Linked DNA regions of Ovis aries. The protein of the gene in region 3 interacts with the protein of the main gene of each other region in a pairwise test. Links are inferred from orthologs where the notes say so. Each region holds a gene or a part of one and is shown on either strand. Other genes may lie near its edges.

Region 1 (2,396 bases), on a different chromosome or scaffold from region 3:
GATCTTCTCGGCAAACACATGATCGTACACGAAGTGCCTGGGGGAAATATTGAAAGACTCTTACACAGGCCGACTGAGAAGGCAAAGAGGGAGGCTGATGATTTTTTTCCAACTACATATTTTTGAGGAGCTGTGATATGACTGATTTTTTGCCTATTCCACCCTAGAGCAGCGGCTAAAACGAATGTGTGAGGCTGACAACACATGGAGGAACACACATCTTGTGTAATTAATTTTTTTTTAAAACATTAAAAATGCTATAGAACATCCATTCCCAAAGACCAGTAGTATGACTGAGACTGTTCAAGGAGATCAGAACAGCCAGTGGTGCTCAATCTTGGCTGCAGATTAGAATCACCTGGGCAGTCCTAAAACATACTGACGCCTGGGTCCCACCCCCACAGATGCTGACCTAGCTGGTCTGCCACATGAACTAGAGGGTGTGTATTTTTTAAAGCTCTTCCTATGATTCATAATATGCAGCTAAGACTGAGAACCATTGCTGCGGTGATTTTAAACCAAGAACAGACAGACATCAGAATCACCTGAATAGCCTTTCACTCATACCTAGAGATTCTGATTAGGCCTGATGGCGATCTGAACAGTCAAGTTGAGGCCCACCAAATGCACGAGCTGGTCTCTCTCCTGGTCAGAGTCCTGGGCAACTTGTAACTGTACTTATTTGCTACCTGCCTCTTCCTGAGACTGAAAGCTCCATGAGGGCAGAAACTGTGTCTGTTTTGCTCACCACTCCTCACATCTGGCATAGCACCTGCCTTACCACAGGTGTTCAAGAAATAGTTCTTAAATGAAGATTCAATCTCCAAAGTCTAAATTGTAAAAGGCTTTTCTTCAGGAAAAAAAAAAAAAAAAAAAAAGCCTTCTGTTTGCCTGGATTTTGTTTTACTGAAATTTCAATTGGACTAAACAACAACAACAACAACAAAAACTATCACATGTATGTTTAAGTGGTTTTGTTCAAACCACTGGTGGTCTAATAGCCAAGCGGCATTTCCTAAAAGGGTACTTTTAATCTACTGGGATCCAGAATGTGCCAATGACACGAGATGTTCTCCTGCTTGCAAATGGAAGGTGGGCTCTTACTGGCGGAGGTCATACAGCTCTTTCAAAGACGAGAAGCTGGGGGCCGATTTCTCCTGGTCATGCCTCCCCTGGCTCCTTCTCCTTTGGCTGGATGATTTCAGCTCCTCCACTTGGCTCTGGAGGTGATCAATGTTCATTTGCAGGCATTCAATCGTTTCAGTCAGACTGTGAGGAACAGACAGAAGCCAATTGCAGCTTGTCATATTAAATTAAAGGCATAAGCAGTGAGGAGAGCTTAGTTGGCAACCACTCAAACTGGGCTTTTGTAATTGGAAAAGACTTCTATTTAATCTCTATTCTCCATAGAGAATTAAATTAAAGCTTACCCCACACTGACCTGAACCCACTACAGCCATGTTCTATTCTAGTTTATACTAAATGACTTCCCCTAGGGCTTCTTCAACAGATTCTAAAGAATTTACCTCAGAATCTTTTGCTGTGAGGCCTTGCTGTCAGCAACGAGCTTTTGATTTGTTTCTTCCAGTTCCCTCGCTGTGACGTCTAATTGCTCATAAACCTTTGCATGCTGTTCATTCATCTGCCGCAGAAGCTCCACCTGCTTGGTCAGATACTGGAAGAGATAATTGTGACCAGGTTACACATTAAACATGTGGGATACCTGCAGTATTCCAGGTATAATACAGAATGCATCCTGCAATTCACTTCAATTCTGACACCACCTGGAGTGATAAGGGCTCAGTTCCACAAAACTGCCCCCAATTCAGGTACCAGAGGTAAGTCCTAGGGACCACCCGTCCTTTCAACCAAACAACTATAAATTAGGGAATTCCCATGACCTCCTCTCACATTCAATAATCTGCTAAAACAACACACAGAGCTTGGGAAAGGGATTTACTTACAGTTTTATTCTCAGATGCACCACCCTCCCTGGAAACCTCTTGGTCTCCTTTTAGAGTTTTACTGAAGCTTCATGGCACAGGCATGATTAATTAAATCATGGGCCACTGGTGAACAAACTTGATTCCAGTCCCTGACCCCTCTGCAGAGGCTGGCAACGGGGCTGAAAGTTCTAACCCTCTAATCATGTGGTCGGCTCCTCTGGTGAGCAGTCTCATTCTATCATTCAGGAAATTCCGAGGGATTCAGGACATGGGGACAAAGGTCGAATATATAGTTTTCATTATACCACAATACCACAAGTTTATTTTACGAAATGAAGAACTTCAAATCTCAGTTAAACTACTTTTCTTAAAAGGAGCTGAGTACAGGCCGTCCTTTATATGTTTAGTTCCCCTAAAGCTCACCAATACAGTTTAGGCTGGTCTACTTTT
Region 2 (3,446 bases), on a different chromosome or scaffold from region 3:
TTACAATTAGAAATGAATACATGTCTCATGGATCTTCAGGGTTACTCATGTGGTTTAAACTTGAAGTGTTTTATCCACAAATGCCAGGAAATCACTGTTTTTAAAAATGTGTATTATTTTATTTATGTGGCTGTGCCAGGTCTTGGTTGCGGCAGGCGTGCTCTTCAGTCCTTGTTATGGCATGTAGGGTCTTTAGTTGCAGCATGTGAACTCTGAGTTGTGGCATGTAGGATCTAGTTCCCTGACCAGAGATTGAACCCTGGCCCCTGCATTGGCAGCGTAGAGTCTTAGCCACTGGACCACCAGGAAAGTCCCAAGAAACTACTTTTTAATGAATGAATATATGCTGTCATGGAACAGTTTTGTTTCAGATCTCTTTTGGAAAATACCACTAAGGAATGGTGGGAGGAGCAAGCAAATGACATGGGGATATACATAAGACCTGGGTTCTGTGTTGGCACTCTGGTTAAAGCATGTGGGTGCACATTACCTCAAATTCTGTAGGGCTTAGATTCTCAGGAAGACTTTCCAGACTTCTGGAAAGACAGACAGGCTGCTTAATTAGTCTTTGGGTCTGGCTATAGGCATCACCCTGCGAAAGCTGGTGCGGAGCGCCACTCTGGACATCGTGGATGACATGGCTCAGCTTGTGGAAGCACTTTACATCAATCCAGCTCAGAGGTAGTGATGCCACAGCTGGAGTTATTGGGTAATGGGGTTCTTTGTTTCTGGGAGGCGGGGGAAAGTCATTTTAACAGCAAAGTTACTGATAACTGAGATTAATGACCAGCAGGAAGGACCTTTGTAGGAAACAGGAACCCAGGTTATTGATACATCCTTATTGATTCGTTTCAGCAACCCTGAGAACCTGATTCCCTACAACAGTGTCTGGGATGCTTGCCAACATATACCTCAGATCCCAAAAGGTGAGTGAGAATAGAAAGTAGACATTGACTCTGCTGGCCAAAGCTGACAGACCTCACGTCCAGCTGCCAGTTTTGTAGTAGTATGTATTTTTACTTACGTAAAGAACTTAGTGAAATAGGTCTAGTTTATCACCAACATGAAAAGACAGGTATTAATTATTTTTGCCAGTCTTTTTAGTTCACGTAACTTCTAAATTCAAACACCCTCTGGCTGTGGCTCTGTCTGTTGTTGAACAGATGTGGTTTTCTCTTCCGGTCCTGCCCCAGGGGCAGTATTTTGGAGACACTGAAGCAGTTATGGGGTAGAGCCTGCTAGGCTAAGAGCAGTGGTCATCCAAGGGTGCCATGCTGAGAAACATCATGTGACTATTATATTTCTTCCTATGGTGAATGACAGGAAGCTTTTTAGCCCCGCTGTCTGGGCACCCAGAGGATGTATATGAGAAGAATTTTACATTCATTGCTGCCCTTGTTTACTGTCCTTGGCACTCCCTTCAGATGAGAACACTTGCTTTTTGCAGACTCGAGAATTGTTGGGATTCTCCACTAACTGCAGTGCTTCTCGTTCTTCACTCATAGATAACAAAGCTGCAGCCCTTTCAGTGCTGACAAAGAGTGTGGATCTTGTGAAGGATGCACATGAGGAGATGGAGCAGGTGAGAGGACCTCTTTCTTTGATGGTCATTGGAAGGCCTCTCTGTGTCTAGTAGATGAGGATTGGTTATAAAGAGAGAAGATATGTCAAGCGTGGACCACATGGGTCCCCCCTCACTCCCACCCTCCATCTCCCATCTCCCCCCCCCCCCCCCATGTGGGGGTGTGATTTGTACCATTCCTCTCTGTTCCATTGCTGCACTAGGAGAGTTAGAACAGCATGTGTGAGGTGATTCAGCTCTGTAGCCATTTAGAGAAATAGCTGGCTGAAGTCTGGGGACAACTCCGACATGATGCTAAAAGTATTATTACTTTTTTTTTTCCTGGCATGCACATATATCCTGTTGTATCTTAGGCTGTGGAAGAATGTGACCCTTACTGTGGCCTCTTGAATGACATTGAGGAGGACACCTCTGACAACCATGTTGATGAGGAGGATATATTGGGATGTCCAAACAATCGGGACTCATATTGGTCAGAGGGAGACCAGGAGCTCATAATCCCATGCCTTGCACTGGCGAGAGCATCCAAAGCCTGCCTGAAGAAAATTCGGCTCTCAGTGGCAGAGAACGGGAAGAAGGATCAGGTGGCCCAGCTGGATGACATTGTGGACATTTCTGATGAGATCAGCCCTAGGTAAGCGTGACCTCCACTCAAAACATCCCAGCAGCAGCATTCTGACCTCAACTTGTGCCGTCACCTCAAGGTTTTCCCCCATCTTTTTGTTTTGAAAGTTTTCAAACCTGCAGGAAAGGTTAAAAAGTATTGTAGCGAGTACCTGTACTTCCATCTAGGTTCACCTCTTGTTCACTTTTTTTTTTCTGTATTGGTTTATTTCTCTGTAATTAGATGTACCTTTTTAAAAACTGAAATAGATGTGCTATTTTCATCCCTGAACCATTTGTAAGTTGCAGACATCAGTGATGTTTTTCCCTGAATATTTCAGCATGTATTTCCTAAGAAAAAACAGTTTTACTCTTAGTATTACATTTAAGAAATTTACATTGAATATGTGTTTGTTTGTGATAGTCACTTAGTCATGTTTGACTCTTTGCAACCCCATGGACTGTAGCCTGCCAGGTTCCTCTGTCCATGGAATTCTCCAGGCAAGAATACTGGAGTGGTTTGCCATTCCCTGACGATAAAGATTATACTGAGTATAATAATATTATCTAATATTCAGATTTCCCAAATTGTCTCTAAAACGTCTTCTATAGCTTTGTTGTTTGTTTTTTGATTCAGGGTTCTGTCAAGGGGTCATACTGCATCTGGTTGTCTTTTCTTTGGTATCTTGCAACTAAAACAGTCCCTGTCCTTTTTTAGCTTTTTTTGTCATTGACATTAAAAAATTTTTTTTATTTTCTTGACATTCTTAAAGAATCCAAGTCAGTTACATTGTAAAATATCTAGCAATCTGGATTCATGTGGTTGTTTTCTCATAATTATGTTCAGGTTAAACATTTCGGCCAGAATATCGCTTGGTTGAGTGTTTCATGCTTTTCATTGCATCATGTCAGAGAGGCACGTGGTATTAGTTTGTCGTGTTTTTGGTGGTACAGCACTAACTTGATTGCTTGATTAAAGTGGTGCCTACTTTAATGGCATTCAGGGATGAACCCTGCCTATATCAGTTATTAAACTTATGGTTTCAGATCCAAACACTTTTAACTTAATTAATAATGTTCCATCCTACTGGCCAAGGGAGTTCCCCCCACCCTCAACTTCTTAGTAAAACAGAGTAGGTATGTGTTCCATAAATACAAGTTGAATTGGTTATTTATTGGTTGCCCAGTGTAAGGAACTGATGCATTTCTGGGAATTATTTCCTCACTCGTTGCATCCTTAGTTGTGTCCTGGAGACCACCT
Region 3 (4,203 bases):
TGTTTGGGCTGAGGCACAGAGGACCCCAGAGTAACCGGCAGCTTTGTAGTTTTCAGCTGAGTACTTGAGTGTTACAGTGATCCCTTGTGCTGTCTTTACTTTCTGGATTTGACCTTTCTCACAACAAGATAAAAATTTTAAGTCCACTGTGTCCTTATTCCATGTTAGGTACTGTTTTTTTATGCATATTAATGCATTCCAGCCTCTCAACAACTGCAAAAGACATGCTCCTCTCCTTTTTATGGAAAAGGATACTGAAACACAGAGCGATAAAGTTAGAACAACGTATGAAAAAATATGCAATCTTCCTAATAATCGAGGAAATACAAGTTCAATCAAGACCACCTCTTCACTTCAGTAGGTACGAATCCCCAAGTTAGAGAACGTGACCAAGAGTGACTAGGGTGACCACGACAGAGCAGACCAGGGGCTTAGAAGCAGACAGCGCGCAAGGAAAGAAAATGCTCATGCCATCCACACTGGGGACATTCCCAACAGAGACAAAAGATGTGTACTAGGATTTTCAGTGTGTTCTTTTTAGTAAATAAAAACTGGTAAACACCAGGAGACAAAATAAACTGTGGCATATGAATGAGGAAAAATAATAGTAGTTAAAATGCACAAAACAGTCCTATAAATATCTATGTAAACTTCTCTCCCAGACACGCTCAGTGAGAAGAGCAAGTTGCAAAACAAAGCAGGCTGTACAACATAGTTTAATTAGAAAATAAAGCACAAGAATATTCTGTTCACAGACACACGTGCCTGTAAAGGATTCACACGCTAGAGAGATGCTCATCATAGTTGTGGCAAGCCTCCCAGGAGGGGAGGATAGAAAGCAGGTCCCAGGGTGCTTCAACACTACTTTATCTTTACAATAAAATTTTAAATAAGTAAATTTTTAAACTAAAAATCCAAAGTAAAAGCAACAAAATAACTGTTACACCTGGGTGGTGGTGGGGTGGGTGGGCTGCATGGGTCAGGCCTGAAGCTGACAGCAGGCAGCAGCATTTCAGAGCCGGACTGCCCCTCGGGGGTCCAGCAACCACAGCAGCTGTAGGGCCTACCTGGCAGGCTTGCTGCCAGGTGAGTGAATACACGTGAAACCCCTGGAACAGTGCTGCCCAGAGGAAGCAGCACATGAATACGTCAGTTCTCATCCCCACATGGACGTGGCACAGGGACGGGGAGGAACCCTCCAGAGGGACCATGGCAGGAAGGATGGAGGGCTCCCTGCTCTGATCCTTAACTCTCTGCTGGGGGACAAGGCAGCACCCACCCTGTGGAAGCTCAAGGAGGCTTATGACTGATTCATGCACTTTCCTGTATGTACACTACACTTTTCACAAAACTCATGAGGAAAAAGGAAAAAAAGGGGAACCGCACCAAATAAGACTCTGGGCCCAGCAAAAATCTGTAAAGAAATAAGATAACCAAACAACTGAAGATATTGAATAGTTACCCTGGACTACTGATTAAAGAAGAAAATCATCTACTAGAAATCTCAGGAAATATTCCTTGGAAAGGAAAAAGAAGCAAAATTAAACATAATGTACATAAGGAAAACACAACATCATTACATTCGTGATTAAATACGAACAAGGTCTTGCTGTTAAGTTGGTGAGGTGTGAGAGTGACACGGAGGTAATTTTTAACTTAACATCCTTGTCACTTAGGTTAAGCCGGCATCCTGAAGTACTTACAGGCAAAATGCCCAGTAAGTCCTACAACCTGCTTTAAAATACTCCAGGGGCAGGAACAGAGAATACAAGAGCAGCAAAACATTGACCTACCATGACATGTGAGCAGTCTCTATGCTACTCTCCCTAGTTACCTGGGTGTTTGACCACTTCTCTAATAAAATATCTAAAATATAAGTAAATTTTAGAAGTTTCACTTTGAAGCATAGGACAGGTCACGGAAAGGCGGCGGGGGGGGGGGGGGGGGAGGGCTCCATTCTTTTCAACATAAACCCTTCTGTACTCCTGACATACCTGGGGAAAAGTCAAGAAGACCCCCTAATGAAGGATACTGCTAGAAGAACCCCCTGCCTCTATAAAGTTCTCTTCTTCTCAGCATTTTGCTCGGCCAAGAAAAACAAAACTGCAAAGAACTGCAAAGGTTCTGTCCGCAAGTCCCCGCGGCCCTCTCCCCCCCCCCCCCCCCCCCCCCCCCCCGCCCCCTGCTAGTGGCCTAGAGAACTCAAGCCTTACCTGCAGTTTTCCTGGAAGCGGCACTTCCCCTCCAGGAAGAACGGGCAGGGCTTCAGGGACTTGTGAGTGGGGTAGAGATAGAGTACGCGCACGCCCGGGGAGCCGTCGTCCGCCTCCTCGGTGCCCACTACCATGGCGTTGTGATACTCCAGGGTGCCCCAGGCACTGTAGTAGGGGGCGTTCACCTTTCTTCCACTCAGTGCTGCCCCGCCCTCCTCGTCCTCCCCGTCGTCCTCCTCCTGCCCAGGCTCCGTGGGTCCTGGCCCAGTCTCTCTCGAAGGAACAGTCTCCAGTTCTGCCCCGGGGGCTACTGGCACCTCCGCCGTCTCCACGATGGCATTTTGGAAAGCCAAAGGCTCAGCATCCTCCTGGACTGGGCGCTCTCCATCCAGCGCCGCCAGCAGCTTGCTCTTCCTGATAGACACCAGGCTGGCCTCAGTGAGCTCGATCAGCTCCTTCAGGTCTCCCTGCAGCTGGCGCAGGTCGGCCAGTTCCGAGGGATCCAGGCCAGCGCCCAGGGCCAGCTCCACCTGCTGCAGCTGCGCGTCGTAGGTCCGGAGGGCGGTCTGCAGGCTCTCCTCGTCCATCCTGGCGGGAGGGGCCGATTTCCCGCGCCTGCGGGGCTGGGTCCCTGGGTCCTCAGAGGGGAGGCGTGGGAGCCAGAGCTGCGGAGAAGAGAAGCCAGATGAGTCTGGGACAGACGGCCCCCACAACGCCGACACTGAGCGTTGGCCGACTGCAACCCTCGGTGGTCAGCCTGCGGAACCGTGAACAGCAGTCTCTTCGTTTGGACGTGGAGATATTTCAAGCTCCGAGAGGAGGAGCCAAAGCTGGCCCTTGGCCACTAGCCCCACGGCCTCGATTCCCTTCCCGGGAGCTGCCTTCAAGCTCTTCCGGGGTCTATGCGTCCAAGTCTTGTGTCCCCCGCCGGGCCCACCTCTGCGGCCTCGCGCCGCCCGTCTCCGCTCGGCCAGCAACCTCGGGCCAAGGCCCCGTTGCCCAGACCCCCTCGCCCCGGCCAGGCCCTCCTCCGAGCGGTTTCCCGGCCGCCGCCACAGACGGCCAGCCGGCCTCACCGGCCAAAGCCGTCCGGCGCCCCACTTCCGCCCTTGCAGCCCACAGGCGCTTCCGCCCGAGCACCGCCGCCGGCGGAAGTGTCTGGCGCGGGGGCTGCCGGGAAGGCTCCGCCCCCTCCTCGGCCGACCGGCGCCTGTCCCGTCAGGCGCCGCGCGGGTTTAGCGCCGGGTCGGTGGGTCAGGCGCAAGGCGGTTCCCCTGCTCTGCGGCTCGGCGGTCCGGCCGGACGGTCGCAGGTACATCGAGGCGGGTGGGTGGAGCTGGGCCCAGGCTCGGCGACCGGTCCGCAGTCTGTCCGCGCCGCCCGCCCGCCTCACGACTGCTCTGGGCAGTCACCAGCCCTCAGACGCCCCGCCTCTGAGAGGCGTTCGCGGCGGGCCGCGAGCGAAGGGGGCGTTGGTTAAGGAGACCCGAGGGGAGCAAAGCCTGAAGGGAGCCCGGGCGGGGGAGCAGCGAGAAGCGGGGCGGGGCAGGCTGCCCTCTGCCTGCGAACAGAGCGCCCTGGCCGGGCCGGAGAGGGCGTGTGGGCACCTGGAGCGCCGGGGCGATTCTGTAGCAGTTGCGGAGGCGAAGGCGGGCGGAGGGGAAGGGAGGGGAGGCAGAGCCAGGAGGGCCCTGGGCTCCAGCTGTGAGCGGCCGTGCGGGCAGCGGGACCCTCTGTCCACGGTGCGGGCCGTCTCGTCCGTGACCGATCTCGGGTGCCCAGGGCAGGATGTACACGCTGCTGTCGGGCCTATACAAGTACATGTTCCAGAAGGACGAGTACTGCGTCCTGATCCTGGGTCTGGACAACGCCGGGAAGACGGTGAGTGTGGCTCCGTGTCAGCGCCATCCCCCACCCCCACAGTCCTTTCGGTGTTTTTTTTAGCTGCGTGTTCTCCACCCCGGCAGGCTCTGAACCCTGCTTAAGGTCA
Region 4 (3,500 bases), on a different chromosome or scaffold from region 3:
AAACAATTATGAGAAAGCATATCTCTGATAAGGCTCTACAAGTGCTGGTGGCACTGTGTTCCGTGGACGTTGCTGACATTCATGCTGATGTTTGCATGCAGAATATAGTAGCATTAAAGAACATTTAGGTCATAGACTAAAGTGCGTTAAAGTATACACATGCACGCATGACTTCATTTCTATAAATAAAGCTCAAATCAGTCATTTTTCTTATTGGCTCCAATGGTTCAGAATCATATTATGCTTATGTTTCCTCTCTCATGTGTAACAGTTTAATTGTTAAGACTCCTGATTCAGGAATGGTCATACTGGGAGATAACAAACGCAACGCACACTATCCAGTCTTGAAGCAACTGGAAATTACCATCAGGACAATCTCGAAAAAAAAAAAATCAGAATTAAGTACCATAAAACAAAGTGGTTATCACCTATTAATTTAAAAAAATGAAAGAAATTAACCACTTTAGCCCACAAATTGGTGTTAAGGACAATCGTTAATTAAAGAATAAGAGAAAATAATAATATAAAAACTATATTGAGGTATGTCATGGCAGTTAAAAATACAGAGTACTACATGGAGCCTCTCTCTATCAAAATTAAATTAAAAGAAGCTTAATTGGGATAACTTGCCAAGACTTCTATGAAGGACAATTTTTACTTCTAGTATTTAATCTTTACAACTAAAATAATGCTTCTTCACTTTGACTGTAATTTTGGAATGTTTTATAATTTATGTAGGGGAGGAGTTAAAACTTCATTTTGCATCCTAGTAGAAAAGTTTGTTTTAAAAAATTACATAAGCAAAGATGTTTAAAGAACTTAGGAGAATAACTTGTTCAAATAGTTTTATACATAAATTTTACATATAAATAACATAAAAACATGTCAATAGATACTGTAGGGACATTGCTTGACACTTCTTGAATAGCTCTAGTGCAAGGTATTATATGTTGTCGAAGGTGATTAAATTCTTCTTCTTTCATATGTTCTCATTCTCATAGGCTTCTTTTATAATTATTGCAGACTGGTGAGGTTTGACAATTCAAGGAGAGACAGTTGAAAGAGGACTATTTAAAATCAAAACCTGTCCAATCTCTGGTCCCACCACTTACACTTTCTGACCTTAATTTCCTTATTTGTACATTAGAGACAGTGCTATCTACCTTGCTGATTAGGTGGGGAAATGCAAGAAAGAGCACTTTATAAATAATAAAGCAGTATATATATGTAGGAAATTACTCTTAAGAACTGGTAAGAACCTCCAGTTTTCACTCTTTTTTTTCTTTAGAGAGGAAGATAGCTATATTGACCGATCTTCAAAAACTACGTCGACAATATTAGGTTCCCGCTTTCAGAAAATGATGTCTATATATAATCTCTGGTCAGCTTCTTCTTTTTTTTTTAAATACTGACTACATAAGAGTAACTTCTAATTTAATGACAAAAATTTCAAATATGAATGACTTCAAACATTTAGACTTGCCTTCTGCCATAATCCTAAAACACTTTGCATATTGGAATTATGATAGGTCATTTTAGATCCAAAGTTAACAGAAAGTCTAATTAGTTAAGTCAGGTAGGTTTCCAGACCCTTAAATGTGCTCTGACCTAGTTCCCTGCGAAAATTTAATAGTGGTAGTTTACATGTTTGTGAAATACTTTGAAATTATTTTATATAAAGTTTGGTTGTGGTGAATTTATTGAAAATATTTTCTTTGAAAATAGTTCCCTAAGTAGATTTTTCAATATATTTTTTTAAAAGGTATTTCTGTAACACAATAAAAGTAAGAGGATTAAATTGTTCATCCAGCGTGTCAACTCAAGCTAGGTCTTTCTTTCTAGTGCAGCAACAGATTTTAGGGCAGTAAAGTTCAGAATGGATACAATGGCCTGTTCAGAAAGCATGCAAGTGGTGTCAGGCCATTACTTTTAAGTTGATCTGAAAATTTGTTGATTAGACTCTGACCGTGGAAAGAGAGTGACACATGAACGTCAGTGTAAGCTGCAGGCCCTGTTGGTTCACATTCCAGCTACCTGATGTTGGGCTTTATTTCCTTTTCTTCTTCTTCTTCACTATCATCCACCTGTTGTATGACCAGATCGGCAGACCCATCCTCGACTATCTCCACGTACGATCTGTTCTCATCTTCACCCATGTGCCATCTGGAATCCTTATCTCCATCTGATGGGGACATAAGATGCTGTTCAGCTTCCAGATCAATGGGGAGGCTGTCTATGCCAACTTCAGCAAGGCACTCATTACAGAGTCTGTAGCGCCTGGTTCCTTCCTGTACCACTTGGCCTGTTAGGTCAGTCACGTGGCGCTTGCATTTTCTGCAGATAAGTTTGCATGCCTGGTGAATCTGTGTAGAGAATTAAATAGCGATTAAAAAAAAAAGATTTTTCAAAAGCAGAATAGTTTGATATTCTAAGTACCAGTTCATAAATTTAACATGTTCAAAGCCAAGCATTAATATTAAATTAACATCTAGTTTATTAGAAAAAGGTCACAGGTTTTGGTAATAAAGTAATGTCACAGAAATATCAAACACTAGCTTTCTCTAAATTATGTCTATTATGTTTTCATGGTTAATATTACATACTTAATAATTTCACATATCCCTTAATCCAATAGTATTTTTATTTCTGAGGTAAGTGAAGTCGCTCAGTTGTGTCCGACTCTTTGTGACCTCATGGGCTGTAGACTACCGGGCTCCTCTGCCCATGGGATTTTCCAGGCAATAGTCCTAGAGTGGATCGCCATTTCCTTCTCCAGGGGATCTTCCCAACCCAGGGATCGAACCCGGGTCTCCCGCATTGTAGACAGACGCTTTACCATCTGAGCCACCAGGGAAGTCCATATCTGAGGTAACATGGGACATATTTCCAGAATAATAATTGTAAACACTTAATATCTGCCATATACTATTCTAAGGACTTTACATATCTTAATTCAGGAGAAAAAACTATTTTGTTATTTTGCTTGAGGAAGAAAAAATAATGTCCCAAATGTAAATTTATAAAAGAATATTTTTTGATGTAAGGATTATTGCCACTTTTATTAATGAAAGATGTTGTAGAAAGAAGACTGGTCTCTCTGCTTCTGTTATTTTCTAATCTTGTCATTTACTAACCATGTATAGTGAAGCAAGTCATTTAAAACAGAAACCTGCCTCCAGGGTGACTGTCAAAGTATTTAGAAACTGGTAAGGTATGGGTACCACGCAAACAGAATAGAAGCTTGATGACCAGAACGGATACTAGTTATAAACAACCAAGATGGTGGTTCTGCTACATATTGGTCTATTACTATTCGCAACCGCTCCCTTATTACCAATAGGGATACACTTCAGTTTGTGTGGACCAAATGAGTTAATATGTGTGAAATGCTTTGCGAAGAGGTTATAATTGATGAATAATTATATATTATAGTTAGTAATAAATAACTTTGTTCAATAACTATCCGAGTAGTAGATTATAGATTCTAGCCTAAAAATTAT
Region 5 (3,500 bases), on a different chromosome or scaffold from region 3:
AAGGCCCCCACTTGTCCTTTTCTGGGGTCAGTGGACATTCATTGACCCTTGTTCTGGGTTGAGTATTCTGCTAAGTGATCTGTGTCTTTCAGATCCTTACAACCCAGGAAGTACCAAGAATTTCAACCAGAATACAAGGCTTGACTTTCAGAGAGATGCTGGCTCATGTGGGACAAACCTCACATCTCCAGGTCTCCTTAATCCTCACCCTGAGCTAAAAGTGATGCCTCCCATCCATTCTAGCCCACAGATTATGGAACACTCAGTGTCACTGTAAGAAGTGGGTGAACTGGTTGGGAGAGGGAGGCCCAGGACTGAATAAAGGCTGCCTAGTCTTTCGAATTAGGTGGTCCTGGTTTGGAACTCTGGTTATGCTACCTGCTGACTATGGGAATTCGGGCAAGCTACTTCATCTGTCTGAGCCTCACTTTCATTATTTCTAAGGTCGGGATGATAAACTGTTTTCCAAAAGGTGATGCTTATAAAACACCAAGCACTGTGCCTTTCTTGTCCAAGATGTTCAATGAATAGCAGCGATGAGGCTGTTCTGTGGGTTATGTGCTTGGCTTTTATCCTTTGGCACAGAGAACCACTGCAGGCATCCAACACAGATTGGGACATGATGAAGGAGATGTTTCGGGAAGATTAATGTGGCAGTGGTGAGCAAGATGGATGAGGTGTGAGGAGGAGACTGAACATAGGGTGACAAGAAGCTATAACTCTTGACTGGTCACATTAATGAAGGTGAACGATGGTGTGGATCATCTGAGACAGCAGGTGACTTCATGTGGCATTTTAACATGGCTTTGGAGTCTGTGTCTGGCTTTGCATTCCAGGAAACAACAGAAGAAATTAGCAATGGACTCAAAGGGATGAAGAAAACTCTCTACAGTCAACCCACCTTTGCAACTACTTCAAACTTAAGACCCAATAATCAGTTTTAGTGCAAACAGAAATAAACATATAGCCTCTGAAGAGACTATCTTCTTTGACTCTGACTTCCTGATTGTTTCATTTCCAGGGCAAGAAAACCACCGAGGATTTGGGCATCAACGATCTCATCCTCCTTTCTAGCTTCTGTGGTGTTAGCTAACCACATTCATCTATTCAACAAATATTGAGTAAGCATCTACTATGCACCAGGCTCCATGCCAAATTCTTTACTAACTTCAATATATTTAATCCCCATGATGATTCTTTTGAAGCAGAAAATGAGGCTCAAAGTGAGGTGGTTTGCCTAAGACATAAACTAGAATTTCCAGTCACGTCTGCATGACACTTGGACCATTTCTATTACCTAATTATCCTATAGGAACAGGGGAAATATTACCAAGTTTTGTAACTTCCTCAACTGAACTAAAAGGCACATATAAAATGACAAGTTTATCAATATAATCTCCCAAGGGCCAGCCTTTTTCCTAAGCCCATGCCTGCATCCAGGAAAATGCTGTGATAAATTCCCAAACTCAACTTAGCACAAGTGTGACTCAACACCAACCTCCTGAACTGCAAGCTTCTCAAGACCACCAAGCCCTAAACAATCCCCCCAAAGAGCCCCTATTCAAAGCCACAAAATGTGGTAGAAGCCGCTCTTCAGAAATACACAAGAACTTGGTGCCTGTCATTCATCTAAGAGGGAGAAACATCCCATGAAACTTACCACTATTGAAAAAAAAAATGGAGGCATGGTAATGAGCAAATAGTGTTTTAGAGAACAGGCTGGTAGACAGGAAATCCCATGCAAGTCTGTCTTCAAAAGTGAAGAGACCCCTGGAGAATTAAAGTACAATTACAATGGGAAAGGCACTGTCTTAATTTCCATTTTGCATAAAATCATGCTGGATAATTAAAAGACTCAAACGTCAGAGTTTAATATGGTGTGGGCTTGTTGGTTATGATGAAATTCTGAAAGGCTAAACATAACCCATTTCACACAGGCTTTGTCTTATTTTAAAAAAAGTATCTACATGCCAGCTTCAAGTTCTTCAACAGTCTAAAAACCCTGTAATGCCTATGTTTGCTTCAGAAACAGACATGCCACAAAAAAAGCATGTGTATCTCTCATTCTCTGGCCTCTGTTTCTATATCATCCAAGGCAGACAAAATTCCCAACTTTTTAGGACTGTATCTAATCAAGACAACAAGAAGATGAGTGCCCTGCTGTGGTAAAGCAGAAAGAAATCAAGAGACAAGGGTTTGAGGCACGACTTTGTAACTCACTCTCCGGGTGACCGGTCACTTCCTTTCAGCTCTCTCTTCTGTAAAACAACAGGGACTGGACTAGAAAACTCAAGAGAACTTCCAGCTGTGTGACCACTGGACAGCCACAGGGAGTTCCACTTCTCTTTCTCTTCCGTGCAGTGCTGGATAAGAGCAGATGATCCCATCCCTCCAGGTGGGCTTGTCTGAAGAAGTGTCCTGATGAGTCCATCCAAAAAGGGAGAGAAGAACTGACAACCTGGTTTTGGTAGGTCTCCAGGCTCTCACTATCACAGCCTGCCAGGCCTGGGTACAGGGTTAGGGCACAGACAAAACCAGGAACCTTCAACCTGCTGACTCATTTGTCTAGCTACCCTCATGTGCTTTACCAGGCTGTTGCCAGGGTAATAAGTGGCCCCACCACAGGGTCACAGGCGGGAAAATCATGGGGTGAGATGGGAAGGCTTTCATGCTAAAGTCAAGCCCCAGGAGGATTTACAACACACACAAGTTACATTTTAACCCTGTCTGCTCCTTGGTCCTCTAAATCGTTGCTTTCTACCATAAAGGGTAGTACCCACACTAAGCAAGCTGTTCTTTCAACAGTGCTGAGCCATCACAGTCCTTATCAATTACCTACATTTAATGAGTGCCTACTATGTGCCAGATAACTTCCATGTTACTTTGCTAATAACACAATGATATAATGGGTAAGTAGCTCACGACTCTCTCTGTTTGGGCACCCAAAACTCAGAGAAGTGACGTAATCTCCCTAAGGTCACACAGCTTGTAAGCAGAGTCACAGTTGGAACCCAGACCGCCTGATTTCAAAGCCTATCTTCTTTCAGCTCTCTAATACTTCCTACTTGATACTTAAGGAAGTGACCTGGGAGAGGAGTACCTCTAACCAATTCTCCTATCATAGGGCAGGAGTTCATTCCGCAATGTCCACCTTCCCCGACAGGGAGCTCATCACCATGTTGGAAGCAGTGTTCACCTGCTCTTATTATAGTCCTCCCACCAACTCCTATGAATTCCAGGACCTAATTTTACTTCTGGGACTCCAAAGAACAGGTATGATCCTTCCTCTGCTGCTGCTGCTAAGTCGCTTCAGTCGTGTCCGACTCTGTGCGACCCCACAGACGGCAGCCCACCAGGCTCCCCCATCCCTGGGATTCTCCAGGCAAGAACACTGGAGTGGGTTGCCATTTCCTTCTCCAATGCATGAAAGTGAAAAGTGAAAGGGAAGTCGCTCAGTCGTGTCCGACTTTTCGCGACCCCAGGGACTGCAGCCTACCAGC
Region 6 (4,235 bases), on a different chromosome or scaffold from region 3:
CCGCGCGCCGCCACTCGGAGCGGCCCGGTCCGACCCGGCCCCGCCTCCGCGGCGCCCCCAGCCCGGCCTGGCCCCCGCCCGGCCCAAGTGGGCGGTGCAGCGCGGGGGAGGGTCCGAGGGGTGACCCCGCCCCCGGGGCGCGGACACGCGCAGGCACCCGGCGTCACGCGTGTCCGGCGGGGCGCACGCTGGAGCTACGCAGCAGGACTCAGATTCCCTCCCTCCGAGGAGCGATGGCTGTGTGTCTGGGGCTCGGTCGGTTCAGGACTAGGCGGTGGCGGGTCACCCTTTACCCTTACTTGGGCCCCGGGGCCAGCGGCAGCTGGTCATTGTTCGAGCACAAAGGGCCAGGCGCCGCGGCAGCCGCCCTTCCCCCTCCGCTCCTCTAGTCGATGCCTCACCCCTAGGCACACTCTCCGGCTTCAGAGTCCAGAGAAGGAGGTTGGGGGTCACCTAACCCCCAAGTCTTGGCCCTGCGTCCTGGCACAAGTCGGGGGCCGACGCTTGGTGGGTGCCTGCCCCACCCCCAGCCGCTTGCAGAAGGCACGCTAGGATTTGCGGAGGCGGCGCCACCTGGCGGCCCGTTCGGAGAACACAGCCACCCCCAAACTTGGGGGGCCCCTACCCTTCTCCCCAGTGCTGTACTCCCTCTCGGGAGAGCCCCGGCCTTCCTCGAGCGCGGTTCTTTGCTCCCCAACCTTCCCTCAGACTCATTTGCTAAGAGGTAAATGCTCAAGAGAGAGACGTCCCCTGGGCCCCCAAAAGTCACCCCAGTGGGGGAGCTGGTCCAAACCTACAGGCCAAGCTTACGCCAGCCTCACAGCAGACAACGTTCCACTGTCTTCTCAGGGTCAAGAATACTCTCACCCTCTGGCAAACAACACAATCTAAACACCCACACGACCTTTCCCACACTCAGTCTCAGACACAATCACTCAGTCTGTCTGGTCCATCAGAAGGATCCATGTCCCTTCTTGCCATAATCAGGCCAACTCAGAGATACACACTTGGTATCACGGCTAGTTGTGCACAAGCTTTCACAGCTCAAGTTCCTTTGCACCCAGTCACAGTCTTGACTATACTTGCCTCCCAAGCTTTTTTCACACTATGACAGTCTTTTTCACAGTCACAAAGACAACTTTTTAAACATACACGTCGTATTTCACAAACATTTTATCACACAGACTTTCCCATAGGGGTTTCTGTGACCTAACCAGGTCAGCTGATGCCCGCATCCCTGGGCAAGGACAGCCTCCTGCCCCCTAACCCCGCCCCCCAGAACTAAGGCCTGCCAGAGCTCCTCTGCCCCAGGAAGGAGCATTCCCCCCGCCCCGCCCCCCCCTTCCAGGCCGCAGCCTGGCCGGCTCTCAGTTCTATTTTTAGCTCCATGGAAAGAGTTGTTTTCTTTCTTTTTCCCTGGAAAGGGAAACATAGCCCAGCCACCCTCAGGCTCACCCTAGACCCTCTTGCCTCACAAGTACAGACTGAGCCCCACCCCCATAGAGACCCCCTCTTCTGGCCTTGCCCTGATCCCAGCCTCCTGGGGCACCAGGAGCCTCCTCCCCTTTCTGGCAGCCTGCCCAGAAGCTCAGGCAGCAGCTGGGCTCAGCGTGTGTGGAGGGGTAGGGAGGGTGGTGGAGAGGGAGGCCGAGGGCCGCTGCCCACTCTCATTCGCTGGGGGGAGGGGGCCGTGCTCCCTTCTACCAGAGGGAGACGGGCCCACTCTGGTATAGAGAGGATGTGTACGGTCATGCATTCTCTGGGGAAGGGGGACTCCTACTCTTGCGTGAGTGGGCTTTCTGCTCCTACTTTGAGGGGAGGAGCTCCCAGTGCCGCAAGGAGGAGTGTAGTAAGAAAGGGGACCCACAGGCGTTCGCGCAGATGCTCCCCGGGGCTGGAGGTCCCGGCGGAGGCTGCTGTACACTGCCAGAATTGCCCCCCTCTCGGGTATCTTCAGGAATGGGGGCAACATGTTCCGGAGAAGGAAGGTGAGGAGCCCAGGTAACCAACCCTCTCAGTCCAACAGTCTGTTGTCCTCCTTCGCTACCCCAACTCCGGGGGGCGTTGTGCTCCCATTCCTGGGGAAGGGCTTATCCCCTCCAAGGGGAGAATGGAATACAGCCCGGCAATGTATCTTTCAAACTCGCTTAGTACTGCGGAGGGAGGTTCCCGCCGCGAGGCTCCCCCCGTACAGCCCACGGGTCTGCGAAGCGATCACGTGCTCAACGCCTGTTTACGTCTTAGTCTTCACCTGCGGGCAGCAAGGAAGCCGGAACCTCCGGAGGCGTCCCACCTGGCCCGCCCCCGTCCGCGGTCACTGGGAGGCCCTTTTCTCCCACCCTCACCAAGTACGCGACGGCAGCACACCCTGCCCGCTGGGGGTCCGCGCGGGCCAGCGGCGCTGATCCGCCAACAGCAAGCGAAACTCACTAGGCGCGTCCGCCCCGCAGTGCACGTGTATTCAGGTGTCTCCAGTACGCGCGTGGGTCTGTGTGCACGCGTGTGTGCGCCCGTCGGTGTGAGTTTTCGTGTAGGTTCCCTGTTCAGACTCTTCGCCCGCGGCCCCTGGACTGAGGACCCGTCTCTTCACCCCAATCCCCGGCTTCCCGGGATCGGGAAATTTCACTCCGGGGCGGGGGTGTGCAGGAGGCGAGAGTTCCTACACCGCCGCGGCGCCCCCACTCACTCACCCAGCGCTACCTTAACCGCCGTTCCAGCTCCCGCTGGGCTCCTGACCCAGGGCCGGCACCTCCTGGTCGCAGATCCGCCGGCTCCCCAGCGCGCTCGGCCCGGGCTTGGTGGAGGGGGCGGGGCGGCTGAGGCCGCGCCCCCGACCAAGGCAGGGGAGTGGTCTGCCCAGCACCCCCTCAGCAGCAGATCTGGTACCCTGCCAAGCAGTGTTGCGACGGTGGCCCAAGACTGCCCCTCGGACTTCTGACTTCGCAGCTTCTGGAACTGGCTTTCGATCTAGGAAGGGGCCAGCGGCGCCACAGCTAAGCTAAGCTACCTGGCTGCCCTAACCAAGTTGGCTATAGGGCTTTACTGCCACTATCCTCTGGTCTGTAGGGAGCCCAGCCTGGTCCACTCTCAGCCCACTCCCCAGACACAGGGAAAACCCCTGGGAAGCAGACGAAGAAGGCTCGGATTTCACCGAAACAGACCCCACCCTTCCTCACACACCTCTGAGGTTGGGGCTGCTCAAGCAGAACCAACACCTCCCCCTCCCCTGGAGTAGGTGTCTGCCCGGTGAGCAGGCTTGCCAGTTTTGCCCCCCGCCCCCCACCAGAGTGTAGTCAGGCTTCTCTTAGACTTATAAAGTTCCACCCACAGGCACAAACAGGAAGTTGACCTGTATTGCACCAAAGGGTCCCTCCCTCCATGGCACCCAAGGCAGCCTGTGGGAGGGCAGACCGTGATGTCTACAGGTATTTGGGTCATATCTGCAGCCTGAGTACTTGGGCAGCAGGAGCCCTTTGAGTTGAGTCTCTTCTGAGACCCATCCCCAGTGAAGGGATGGAGGACCAAAGCTGCCCCCTTACAGGCAAGGGGGTTAGAGAATCTGAGGACAAGCCTGCAGATCCAGCTGGATTCTACTGGGCCAGGCTCTCCCTCAGCTCTCAGGAAGATTCCAGTTGGGCACAGGCCGAGTACTGGTTCTAGCCCAGGCAGTTTGCCTCAATCCTCTTAGGTGGGGTATAGAAACAGTGACTCCTAGGGACCTTACATAGGACCCAGGGATTAACTGCTACTTTTTGGGCTCCAGGGGCTCTTGAAATACTTTGGGCTAATTTTCACGTGAGGGGTTTAAGACAGGTGTGTAATGGAATGTGTGTGTGTGTGTAGGGGTGGGGCTGGGGGATCATTAGCTTCCCCTCCTCCCTACCATTCTGGTTTGCTGTGTAGGCTGTCTGCTAGAAGGGTGGGGCAAGACAGGCAAGTGTGTATCTATCCCTCTATCCCCAATTCATAGACCTCATAAAAGTCTCCTTTTGGAAATCCCTGAAAGATTTCCTGAGCACAGAAGACCAGAATGTGGAACCCACATCCTTACAGGTAGGACTGACCTGGTAGTGTGCATCTGGAAGGCATGGCTGACGTTTAACGTTATAGACCCTGGATGAGGCCTAGACCAGCCAGCGGCTGGGAATGATTACTGCAGGATTAGGAGGACTGGCTCCAGCCAGTCTGGGAGAGACCCCCAAGAAGGGAGGCCCTGGAGGAGGTCCCCCTTCCCT
Region 7 (3,500 bases), on a different chromosome or scaffold from region 3:
CTCTGGCTTAGCTTTCTTCTGTGGATTAATCCTACATCTGTCACGGTAAAAAAAATACATGCAATTCTTATATGCAACTAAAGTAGCAAAGCAAAACCACTATTTTTCAAGTAACCAGTTGTCTCAATTTCTAGTTCATATGGATATATACCATCTACAATCAATTATATAAAGAATGAAAATGACACTTCAGGAATTACTGAGCTCAATTCCTCTACATTTCTTAGCGTAATACTAATTTATTTCCCTTTATCTTAGCCAGCTGCTTTTTACCAATTTTTTTATCCTTCTTGTTCATAACAAGTTGATGTAAACGTTCCTTTAGTTTATTATATTCACGCTCTTTTCTCTTCATATCATGATTATACTGAGTAGCTCGACTTGCAATGATATTTTGTAATTTCTGCACCTAAAAAAAAAAGCATTTTCTATTAAATGAGTCCCTTTTGGATGGGTAAACTCAGTTAAAATTTACAAATTCAAGAGAGAGAAGTCATCCTAGAATTTAGCTCCTCAGAATAGTTTAAAAATTATAGGATTATTCTTCCTTCTCTATAGCCACTGGAAACCACTCTTTAAAACATCATTAAATAAAGCACATAGAGTGCTTATTTTTTAATTCTGAAATTTCCAGAGCTTATAACTCTCTAAATTATCTTCTACACCTTTCACCCTAGGTATATAGATTCTGATCATTTAGAAACCACAAACGCTTATGGAAGTATTAATGTGATTAAAGCTTCATTTGAAACAAGTAGATCATTTGTAAGGACTTCCTTTTACCACTGACTTGAATCATTTTATTCTTTCTCAATCTGTGACAAGCCCAATTAGTCATGGCATGTGGCAGCAGATAAACAGGTTTGCTTTTCTCTCATCAAAAACAGTTCTCAAATTAGAGTGAGGCAAACAGCAGACAGAATCTGGTTCAGACATTTGCTAAGTACATATTATATGCCAAGCACTACTGGTCAATGTTCGTATCTGCTACGACTGCTTAGGCAGCCCTGGATGGGAAGTAAGTTCTTTAAAGACATTCTTTATCTCTACTAGAGATGATCATGTTTAACTTAGTCCTTACGAAAGAAAAACGATAGTCAAACCATTTCAAGTATAATCAACAGAGTAAGTCAAAATTTTCCGTGAAATAACTCAAGGAAAAGTATACATAACCTTGTGGTTTAGGTAAGATACTTCATTATCCAATTACTAAATATACTACTACATAATCAAACATGCCAAAACAAACTTGTCTAAATCACTGTAAGGTTCTTCAAGAAATATGCTCCCTTAAAAGTCTAATTATCATCAAAGTAACATATACAACACTGAAAATGTTCTGCTTTTACAGTGATCACGTGGTCAGAAACCAAACCACAGAGCAGTAAAAACCTAGTGATTTCTTCTTATATAAATTCAAAGATAATTTCAAATGCATTATTAGTTCTACAGGTCCAAATACCAAGTAATCAATAAGGCAAAAATGAGATTAGAATTATAATGTCTTCAGCCTAGAAATTAGATTTCTAATGTGAATTGCTTTTTTCAAACAGTAACTCGTGTGTTCATTTAGTCAAGTAATTGTCTCACTAGATGGACAATGTCAATATTTCAGATAGTTCAGGAAGAAGCATTCAAGATACAAGTAAAGGTATGACAGAGAATAAAAGATGTGCATTTAAAGCACCCCTGTGTCTGACAAAAAGTGGCGTGCGTGTTGAGCCCAGGATGGATGGTACAGAACACTGGATGTCACAAGCTGCGCACTGACACACTAAGCCAGATAAGCCCCTAGGGGAGAGGGAGCTAGAGAGGGTTCCTGACCTCTCAGCTGAGTACGATGCAACACTATACACACAGAGGTCTGCCATACCAATCTGATACAGGATGAACAAACGGTTTTCTTGTTATAAAGTTAAGTGACCGTTACAGTCACCTCAAATTACAAACAACAAAAAATTCACTTCAACTTTATCTGCAACAACTGACAACTCACCTCATCTTTCTCATTTTTCAGTAGCTGATGCAAATTCCTATTCTTGCACTGTAATTGTCTGTCTCTTTCCTGAAGACCAATCATTTCTCTCCTGGAGGTTTCCAGTTGTTCCTAAAACATTCGTATGCAATTTTGACTAAAATTAACACTGGATTCAGAGCAACTGAATCCTTAAAAGATTAGTAAAAACAAGTTACATGCCCTAGGATTTGTTACCCAAAATTGAAGTTTAGCAGCACACAAAATATTTAAAACAATTATAAAGCTTGATACTATAGTTACAAATTTTAAATTTGGATAGCAAATTTTAATTTAAATACCAATTTTAATATAAATGCAAAAGACCTTCAAAGTGGATCCTTCAAAAGGCCCTTCACCTATTTCAGTGATATTGCCACTGAACATTTTCATAATTTCCTTTTAATACTTTTTAACACTTCTATGACACACTCTTAAGAAAGATCCAGAAATGATTTGGAGCTAAGTCTAAAGACAGGTGACTATGCAAAGAAAAACACTCCAGGTCAGAAAAGGTGGGACTGCAGCATATCAGTCCTGCCTTGCAAACAGTAAAGTCTCTCAAAACCTTTCCCTAAGGGCAATGGCAGCATTGCCAGAATCAATATGGGATTAAAATGTGTGTGTGTTAGCCACACAGTGTGACCCCATAGACTGTAGCCTGCCAGGCTCCTCCATCCATGGGATTTTCCCGGCAAGAGTACTGAAGCGAGTTGCCATCTCCTTCTTCAGGGGATCTTCTCGACCCAGGGATTGAACCTGGGCCTCCCACATTGCAGGGGGATTCTTTACCGTCTGAGCCACCAGTGAAGCCCTGGATGTTCACTTGCAATTCATTTCACACATTTCCAGAGGAACTGTACCAAAGTATGCATGAAGCTGCTAGAATATTTTTTTAATCCTCTAATATTTATAAAATATAAAAGGCACTCAAGTGATGTCACAACTAACCACAAACAACTTGTATGATCTCTGGAACAATGGACCTCAAGAAAAATTTAAGAATAAAGCTTAGATAGCTACAAGGTTGCCAAAATTTCCTATCATGCTTACAACTTCCTATCATGCCAGACCATCTGGCACTGGGCCAGCTGACATATCCCACACACATCAAATCAGATTCTCTCAGAGTCATCCACACTTTACATGAACTTACCATCTTCTCTGCAAATCTATTTCTTATCCCAGTGAATCATACCGCCATCATCAGTAAATTCAAATCAGAGACCTGAACAGTATCTTTAACTCATGACTCTCTTTTCCCCAAATTCAATTTTTCATAAAATTCTACTCATTCTACTTCTTGAGTTTTCCTCACGTCTCAGTCTTACTCTCTTCACTGGCACTTTCTCAGTTCAAGCCCCAACACCTCTGGACCGAGCGATTGCTAAGGACTGCTAAGAGATGACCTTTTCACCAGGCTTCCTGAGCCTTTTCCTCCATTTCTCTATCTTCTACACCTCCTCCTCTAATCTCTTCAACCAAC

What was found.
Region 1: the proteins of ZGPAT (region 3) and CDR2 interact in binary tests that used the Homo sapiens proteins (3 or more experiments, as listed by UniProt). The two-hybrid records come from large-scale screens. The link is inferred for Ovis aries from reciprocal best matches to the Homo sapiens genes ZGPAT and CDR2.
Region 2: the proteins of ZGPAT (region 3) and CCNDBP1 interact in binary tests that used the Homo sapiens proteins (3 or more experiments, as listed by UniProt). The two-hybrid records come from large-scale screens. The link is inferred for Ovis aries from reciprocal best matches to the Homo sapiens genes ZGPAT and CCNDBP1.
Region 4: the proteins of ZGPAT (region 3) and ZBTB8A interact in binary tests that used the Homo sapiens proteins (3 or more experiments, as listed by UniProt). The two-hybrid records come from large-scale screens. The link is inferred for Ovis aries from reciprocal best matches to the Homo sapiens genes ZGPAT and ZBTB8A.
Region 5: the proteins of ZGPAT (region 3) and BEND5 interact in binary tests that used the Homo sapiens proteins (3 or more experiments, as listed by UniProt). The two-hybrid records come from large-scale screens. The link is inferred for Ovis aries from reciprocal best matches to the Homo sapiens genes ZGPAT and BEND5.
Region 6: the proteins of ZGPAT (region 3) and LZTS2 interact in binary tests that used the Homo sapiens proteins (3 or more experiments, as listed by UniProt). The two-hybrid records come from large-scale screens. The link is inferred for Ovis aries from reciprocal best matches to the Homo sapiens genes ZGPAT and LZTS2.
Region 7: the proteins of ZGPAT (region 3) and SSX2IP interact in binary tests that used the Homo sapiens proteins (3 or more experiments, as listed by UniProt). The two-hybrid records come from large-scale screens. The link is inferred for Ovis aries from reciprocal best matches to the Homo sapiens genes ZGPAT and SSX2IP.

Annotation. Positions count from the first base shown.
Region 1 is NC_056077.1:20,559,589-20,561,984, forward strand, and holds part of CDR2 (cerebellar degeneration-related protein 2), read right to left. Parts: intron 1,676-2,396; coding exon 1,527-1,675; intron 1,270-1,526; coding exon 1,105-1,269; intron 38-1,104; coding exon 1-37.
Region 2 is NC_056060.1:36,643,523-36,646,968, forward strand, and holds part of CCNDBP1 (cyclin-D1-binding protein 1), read left to right. Parts: intron 1-584; coding exon 585-681; intron 682-855; coding exon 856-926; intron 927-1,505; coding exon 1,506-1,582; intron 1,583-1,935; coding exon 1,936-2,216; intron 2,217-3,446. UniProt on the Homo sapiens protein: May negatively regulate cell cycle progression. May act at least in part via inhibition of the cyclin-D1/CDK4 complex, thereby preventing phosphorylation of RB1 and blocking E2F-dependent transcription.
Region 3 is NC_056066.1:53,744,868-53,749,070, forward strand, and holds the start of ZGPAT (zinc finger CCCH-type with G patch domain-containing protein), read right to left. Parts: upstream 2,801-4,203; coding exon 2,214-2,800; intron 1-2,213. Other genes in the region: ARFRP1 (ADP-ribosylation factor-related protein 1), read left to right, coding at 4,002-4,094. UniProt on the Homo sapiens protein: Transcription repressor that specifically binds the 5'-GGAG[GA]A[GA]A-3' consensus sequence. Represses transcription by recruiting the chromatin multiprotein complex NuRD to target promoters.
Region 4 is NC_056055.1:235,011,042-235,014,541, forward strand, and holds part of ZBTB8A (zinc finger and BTB domain-containing protein 8A), read right to left. Parts: intron 2,364-3,500; coding exon 2,031-2,363; 3' UTR 1-2,030. UniProt on the Homo sapiens protein: May be involved in transcriptional regulation.
Region 5 is NC_056054.1:23,286,363-23,289,862, forward strand, and holds part of BEND5 (BEN domain-containing protein 5), read right to left. Parts: intron 2,419-3,500; 5' UTR 2,388-2,418; coding exon 2,221-2,387; intron 1,771-2,220; coding exon 1,661-1,770; intron 1-1,660. UniProt on the Homo sapiens protein: Acts as a transcriptional repressor.
Region 6 is NC_056075.1:21,595,350-21,599,584, reverse strand, and holds the start of LZTS2 (leucine zipper putative tumor suppressor 2), read right to left. Parts: upstream 2,801-4,235; 5' UTR 2,701-2,800; exon of another isoform or gene 2,431-2,700; intron 2,208-2,430; exon of another isoform or gene 402-2,207; intron 27-401; exon of another isoform or gene 1-26. UniProt on the Homo sapiens protein: Negative regulator of katanin-mediated microtubule severing and release from the centrosome. Required for central spindle formation and the completion of cytokinesis.
Region 7 is NC_056054.1:61,693,323-61,696,822, forward strand, and holds part of SSX2IP (afadin- and alpha-actinin-binding protein), read right to left. Parts: intron 2,108-3,500; coding exon 1,997-2,107; intron 410-1,996; coding exon 274-409; intron 1-273. UniProt on the Homo sapiens protein: Belongs to an adhesion system, which plays a role in the organization of homotypic, interneuronal and heterotypic cell-cell adherens junctions (AJs).